Linked DNA regions of Caenorhabditis elegans. The protein of the gene in region 1 purifies or fractionates together with the protein of each later gene. This does not show direct contact. Each region holds a gene or a part of one and is shown on either strand. Other genes may lie near its edges.

Evidence for each region.
Region 2: the proteins of Y48G1BM.6 (region 1) and dnj-26 fractionate together in Caenorhabditis elegans (co-fractionation; one large-scale study listed by BioGRID). This does not show direct contact.

The regions. Positions count from the first base shown.
Region 1 is NC_003279.8:235,689-239,615, reverse strand, and holds the start of Y48G1BM.6 (uncharacterized protein), read left to right. Parts: upstream 1-2,017; 5' UTR 2,018-2,085; intron 2,086-2,949; coding exon 2,950-3,096; intron 3,097-3,171; coding exon 3,172-3,363; exon of another isoform or gene 3,364-3,927.
Region 2 is NC_003282.8:12,250,622-12,254,548, forward strand, and holds dnj-26 (J domain-containing protein), read right to left. Parts: upstream 2,059-3,927; 5' UTR 2,028-2,058; coding exon 1,820-2,027; intron 1,692-1,819; coding exon 1,236-1,691; intron 1,114-1,235; coding exon 954-1,113; intron 901-953; coding exon 627-900; 3' UTR 472-626; downstream 1-471.

The DNA.
Region 1 (3,927 bases):
TCACGTGCTTATTGACAAAATCTTCAAAAATCGCACAATTGTCAGCAAGATTGTAAAAAATGTGTCTAATCAATTAGATACTCTGTTGGAGTTGAGAGTAAGATCACTTAAATTTGTTTTCTGGTAATACACCGAAACTAAAGCTGGCTAATTTCGATGAAAATTATGAGTTCATTAATAACTTTTTTTCTGCTTATCCATTTTTCTGAAAATGTGGGGATTTATGTTATCAACCATGAACTTTCATTGGTCAGTAGTAAAAAAAAACAGTATAAATTATGTTTTAAATCGTTTTTAAAACATTTGGAGGGGGAGCGACGAAACCCATAATATTATTTATACGTAAGTGCCAGTTAGTCTGATTGTTGTGAACTGGGCTCTGCTGTATCGCCCATTTCACAATGTCTCGCTCTCGACTGCTTCAGCAGTTCTCCGAGCGAGGGGTACATTCAATTCGACCTTTTAAGACCAGCTCTTAAGCTTACCATACAGTTAGGAGAAGTTTACTGTATTTCTGCGTCTCTTGCTCCCACACGCTCTCTAACGAGAGTTACACTCGCGCCCCGTAGCAACGATTGGCTGCGCGGCGACTCAATGAGCGACGATACGGAGCGAGCTGCAGCGTCGGTGGCACCAGGAAAGGAACTCTCCTCCCCACTCTTGGTTCGGTTTTGCTGGTCTCTTCCCCCCCCCCCCCCCCCCCCGTTATTGACAGCTCCCAGTCAGACTAATTGCCGACGTTTCCTACCTTTCCCTCCCTTTATTTGGAAAGTGTAGTTGACCAAAGACATTATTCTACGAGTCTGCAAAGACCCCGACTATTCATACACTCGACCTTTTCAGACTAAAGACCCGCGTGGCAGGACGTGATATTCTCACACCAGACAATTCCCTCTCTCTTGTGTACGACCCACTCCCCTCTGTTGATTATCTCCCCTTTGGAGTAATAAACATATTTATTAAAACTGTGTTCTGTTCTTTCCAATACATATACAAATAGACGATGCCATGCTGCACCTCTGACATAGTCTTCGTTGCTCGGTTCCTCTTGAGGCTTAAAGGGTTCGGTCTTCCGCCACTCCGTGGTGCCACAACATGGTGCATCGACCGACTTTCCGACTATTTCCTTGAGAAAACCATGTTTTCCATCGATACAAAGACTAACATTTGATTTCCAGGACATCCAGACGACGTTTACCTGAAAAGCGTGTTCAGTTCACGACTCAGACAAATCCTGTACAATTTCTCAGGAAACAGCTCGAAAGATGAACCTGGGACTCTAGACCGGGGGAACTGAGCGACCCTTTGACTATATTCGGTTATAGTACGATTTCTAGTTAATTGTGCAGTTTACAAAGTTAATATGCCTTTAATCAGATTCACCATACTTGATTTAGTCTATTTTCTCGTCGAAAATCGATTATTTCAACCAAAAACGCTCTTCCTTCTAAAAATTGGCACGGCGCCAAGAAAAAAGGGGGCGGAGTCTTCTACAAAAGTGCGCACGCGGCGCGACCGCGACGCGGCCACGACCTTTAAAAACAAGTTGCATTTACGTGTCTTTTTTTGTTTTTGTTGATCTTCTTCAATTTTAAACATTTTTTCTCACGAGCAACCGCTGTTTTCCAGACAAAGAAGTTCATTTTTCGCTTCTGAGACTGAATTTGATCATTTTTTCTCTCGAATTTTCGTGATTTAAAATTTTCTTCTTCTCAAAATACGAAAATCGTCGTAATTCTTGAATTATTTCGATTTTTTACAGCTCACACCACATCTGCAGCAGCCTACCGTACTCACACGCTTCACACCAACACACTTCACACCACCACGACAAGACACGGCACGGCGAACGGGACATGGCCTAGAAAGTTGCGAAAACTAGTCCCGCGGCTGCAGTGCTTTATTTTTTTTCATGAGGTTGCGGGAGTTTTTCGACGTTTTTTTCGTGTTTTTTGATGTTTTCTCGTCGTTTTTTCTTGTTTTCTTCGTTAAAAATTGAAATAAAAATAATATTTTCAGCGAAAGACCACAAATCGCCGCAAAAATCGACCGCATCATCCGCGAAAAGGCGAAAAACGTCAAAAAGTGAGTTGTTTTTTTTGACATATCTCAAAAACTGTTGGTCCAGATTTTTTTTAAAGAGCCTATGGTATGAAAAAATACATACATGGCGGTTCTGAATTTTAATGATTTAGGTGTATAGCATGGGCCCAACTTGATTATTTTTTTGAATTTAGTGAAAAATCAGCACATTTTTGTATAAAAAATTACTTTCCTCAAGAACTGTTGGTCCAGATTTTTTTTAAACGTCTTAGAATATAGAAAAAATCATGCTGGTTTTTAATTTGAAAGATTCAGGCTTTTAGCATGGGCCCAAGTTTACTGTTTTTGGCATTTCGTGAAAAATCGATAATTCGAACGAAAAATTATTTTTCTCAACAAAAATTGGTCTCAGAATTTTTGAAACCTTTTTTAATTATACACTGAAATATGCTGATTTCAAATTGATAAGTTTTGAATGTTCAGCCGACGGATTTTGCAATTATTTTTTTCGATTTAGTGAATATTCACATTTCTGAACAAAAATTGAATTTTTTCGAAAACTGTTGGTCCAGATTTTTTAAAAAGATCCTAAAATATGAATAAAAGCATGCTGATTCTAAATTCAAAACATTCAGCTCAATATCATGCGCCTAAATTATTGATTTTTTCAAATTTCGTGAAAATCAGTGGAAAATCAGTACATTTCTGAACGAAAAGTATTTTTTTTTCAAAAACTGTTGGTCCAGATTTTTTAAAAAGATCCTAAAATATGAATAAAAGCATGCTGATTCTAAATTCGAAACATTCAGCTCAATATCATGCGCCCAAATTATTGATTTTTTCAAATTTCGTGAAAATCGATATTTAAAAATTGTTTCCCTTATAATATTCATGCAATATTTCCAGATGACAAAAGTATACTTCAAACAAAAAAGAAAAGAAAAATCTTGTGCAGGCCTTCTTTTAGCAAATGCCCAGAGAGCAAGGAACAGTGCTAATGGAGTTTCAAAAGATCAAACTGAAGAGGAAGAACTGAACAATTCGAAAGTGGAGGTTCGTTCAGCTCAATTTTGTCAACTTTAATTAAGTTGGAGTAGTTTGTTCTAACTTCAAAAACGTGATTTTCAGACGTGCAGCTCGTCGCCACAGGCTAATCAGGAAATCAGTTCAGAAGATCGAAACTCCCACCATCCCGACATTGCTTCCAGTAGCTCCGCAACTACATGCAGGTCGTCAAATTGTTTCAATATGGATGAAGGAATTCTGACGAGAGACGTGGAAATGGATTTTAGTGACGAAATTCCGACTTTTTCTCACAATGTAATTTTTTTCAATATTTCAAAACTAATATTATATGATTTTGCTGAGATTCTCCAATCCCGTATTTCCACCGACACCTTTACGAAACTCGTTCAGTACACCGAGGGTTCGAATAATCTCCAATGTTGAGCAAATTCCGCAGATCAAAATGCTCCGACTAACGATCGAACGACTGAAAAATGAAAAAAATGAAATATCAGAAGAAATACAAAAGCGGATTGATGAGTTTGCGGTGTTTTCGGAAGAAATGCAAATAGTCCGCCATGAAAATATCACTATAAGAGCATCTAATTCTTCGCTGCAAATGGAAGTATGCAATATACGAACGATCGTCAGTGGTATAGAAGGTCGATTGGTGAGAAGCTGTGCAGATGTGAAGAAAAGTGGCAAAGCTATGGTTCTGAGTCTACAAAGACACGCCGAAGAAGTTGAAAACCTTAAAAAATCAGCTTTTAAAGTTAATATTTCGAATCTAAGAAGCAAAAGTTGTATCAAAAATCGATTTCGCAAAGCTCTTCACTTGCTTCAACACGAAATCTGCCTCGAGGATGACGTCGGACAATT
Region 2 (3,927 bases), on another chromosome or scaffold:
TTCTTTGTCAGCATAAGAAGATTTCAATGTACTGGGCGCCAGCATAAGAAGAAACGACAGCATAAGAATAGACAAAAAACCATTGACAGCATAAGAAGACGTCAGCATAAGAATATGACAGCATAGGAATATTGGGCGCATTTATATGGCCGTATTTTTTATTGGGAGATTTATTTATTTTTCCTAATTTTAAAAATTAATATCTGACTTAAAATTAACTTTTTTAAAAATGTTTCTTCGGGGATTTGTTTGGAATTTTGAGAGCTTTCAGAATTTAATTACAAAATTGTTCTAGGTGCCAGAAGCTTCGAGTTCAATCAAAAAAACTGAAATTCAGGCATTTATATGACCGTATTTTTTATTGGGAGATTTATTTATAACCCGTTCTCCCTTAATCAGCAACTTTCTTCTAAGTTTTTATTTACTTTAAAAACATTATATTTTGTATTTTGATACGTTAAAAAGACTTCAAAAATTTCTAAAATTTTTATTATAATATTAAATACAAGCGATAACAATTCTTGTAAACTGGAAATCCAACAAAAACAAATACAAAATTAATTCAGAAAAAAAAACATTTTTGAGTGATTTGATAAAACCCGACTCTAATATTGAGCTGCTGATGATTAAAACGTTGTCAAAAAGCTCCAAATCCAACATGGCACTCCTTTCGAAAAGCTCCACAAGAAACCAAAACAGCTCGAAACTACTTCAGCAGTAATTGAAATCGTTTTTAAAACAACAGGAATTGCTATCCTTGTAACACTTTTCCAGGAAAGGTTCACGATCAATTGGAATATTTTCCATGAGATCCAACAAAATACTCCAAAAATTCCAGCTATGATTCTCAAATATGTTATGACAAGGTTGAAAACAGTTCGCAAAAGGCTTCCGGTGTACCTGAAAAAGAAAATTTTCATTTTTTTTTGGATAAGGAATATTGAAAAACTCACATTCCATGTACAATTAATCCAAATAGAACAATCGTCACTACAATGAAAAAGATAACAACAAGATACTCCTCTTTCTCAACATCGGAATTATGAGATTTATCGTGAAAAGGCTCATTGCTGGTAGAGTGTGGATTTGAACTTGACGAATATTTGAATCCATCTGAAAATACATTTGTTCATGAAGATCGGGAAAAAAAGGATTCAGCAAAATAATGAATAAATTCACATTCCACATTTCGACTTGAACGAAAAATACTACTAAAAATATAAAAATCATCATACCTGTATATTCTTCATGTCGTCGCCTTGCGTACTGATTTTGTTGTTGTTGCTGATAAGACTGATAATTTCTATAAACAAAATCCTCGTAATCATCAGCACTTCCTGTATTCCAACTAAATCCACTTTTCTCTTCACGATAATCCTTTCTTGTATTATTAAAATTATTCTGATTTGAATATGGATTTGATTTCTTATTTTTAGTCTTTTGGTGATTGGATTGATGGTTCTTACTGTTGTGGTCCTGTTTGAATGATGAATTTTGCTCATTTCTTTTTCCATTACTTGGCTCAGATTTCTTGTGGTTTTGTCTTTGAGTATTTGAATATTCCTGTTTTCGTTGATTTTTATTACGATTACAACGCTTATAAAGATTCTCATTTGATGTTTCAGCGTTTTGTAGATCATACTGTCTTCGCTTGGCCGGATCCATAAGAAGTGAAAATGCATTATTGACAACTGAAATTTTGAATTCGGATTAAGATTTTTAAACACTTAATTAAGAAATTGATGGAAGTTTTTTTTTTTCATTTATATTTTCAGTCATTACAAGAAAGTTGTTCAATTTCAGATATTTTTGAGCTCACCTTTCGATGCTTCAGTAGCACTTGGATGCTTGCATTTGTCCGGATGAACTTCTCGAATTCGTTTTCTAAATGCAATACGAATCTCGTCTGGACTGGCTTTCTTATCAACGTTGAGGATTTTGTAGAAATCCTTGCACTGGCAAATATTTCCAACCAAGTCTTTTTGCTCTTTTGTGTAATCGGATTTTGCAGATTTTGGTATTGGCATTTCAACGATAGAGTCACTGTTGTGCTGAAAAAACTTGGTTTATATGTAAATTTTTCAGAGAGGAAAACAGTGGAATATTACGATTTTGCTAAAAGTAAAATGTTAGAACAGTTTTGAAGAATTAATTTCACATTTTTAGTTTTTAAAAACAGGAATACGGTTTTTTTTAATTTGAATGTTTTTTGGTTTGTACATTGACAACTTTATTTCTATACTTCCCAATTTGAATATCAGAGGAATTATTACCAGAAAATAGCAAAATTAAATGGAAAGTAAACAAACATGTTTCATTGTTCTGACATAAAAAAACGAATTTTCGAAAGTTTTATGTTAGTTGGGCACGAAAAAAATATTTTTCAAAAAAAACCCGATAAAAACCGACAAAAATGAAGAAAATTAGTTGATAAAACATAAATCGGCACGAAAGAAAGTTTAAATAGATTGGCTAATCTCGTAAATCGACACGAACACAGTTCGCTCCAATGAGACGTCTCTGGCGCGCATTTGAAAAATCTTTGGGTGCACAAAAAAATTCGCAATTGAAGTTTAAAATCAGGGATTTTTAAAAAAATGTTTTCACATCGATATTCGAATTCAGGGATAAATTCGGAGTCGTTTAATTTTCCATATTTCGGTACCGATCTTCCACCATTATGAAGCTGGAAGTTTAGAGGAGTTATTGCTTCAATGGGAGCTTTCCGAACTTACCGAGTAGTTTTATATTTTCAATCGAAACCTGTAGATTTTTTGTAGTAGTTGTGTAATATCCTCTCATTTTAAAATTAAATCAAATTTCTGTTTAAACTTGATGGGCATTTTTAATGTTAAGGCTTAGTTAGAAATTGTAATTTCCTAATCCTAAAAATACAAGTGCATGCCGCACGTTTTCATTTTTACTTCTTAAAAAGGTCCTTTTAAAATGATGCACAAGTGCCTTTTTTTGAGAACTATATCTTCTGAACTGAACAGTTTTGTTGTTATGGAAATCAGAATTGTAGCTCAAAAAAGATCAGAGAAAATTGAAAAAATTCAAGTTGAAAAGCTGGCAAAGGAATGTATATAAAAACAACAATATGAACTAAAAAGAAAAGTGACAGAGTTTGGAAATAAGTTGAGTTGTTCAGGAAACATATTTTTTAATTGATTCGCAAGTGTTCCAAAATTGTTCAGTCCACGTTTCAATGGTGCTCGATTCATAGTTTCTACTGGCCCAAAGTTGCTCCATCAAAGTTTTCAATAAATTCATTATGTCTTTAATTTCATTTGAGCTGCTCCAAAATTGTGGCAAATACTGTTTTACTACTTGATCTTTTACTACGCATCTCTTTTACTACAGGATCTCTTTTACTACGGAATCTCTTTTACTACGAATTCCACATCTAGATCTTTTACTACAATTGGATCTTTTACTACGGAATCTCTTTTACTACGAATTCCACATCTAGATCTTTTACTACAATTGGATCTTTTACTACGGAATCTCTTTTACTACGGTTTACCAACATAGCTCTTTTACTACAGTACGAAAATTTTCAATTTAAGAATTAAATTTTCAACAACATTATGCCGGCAAACACTCATTGACTACCTTCTCATTGACTACCTTTGCTCATTGACTACCTCTATCTAATAAAATTTTCCAAAATTTTTTTTGAAAACTTTTCAAAATTTGATCAGAAAAATGCAATGTTTGTAGTTTTTCTAGTTTGGATGTTCTGCACACGATTGCAGACGAAAACCTGAGGTTTAGTAGAACACCTAAGCTCAAAAAACGCACTCACTTCGGATGCTGATATCTCCGTGGAAAAATTTTTTATGACAAAGTGATCAACTACAAAGTTGTTTATCTTAATCTAAAGTACAACTTTGTAGTTGATTGTTTTTTATCAAAAAATTTGTT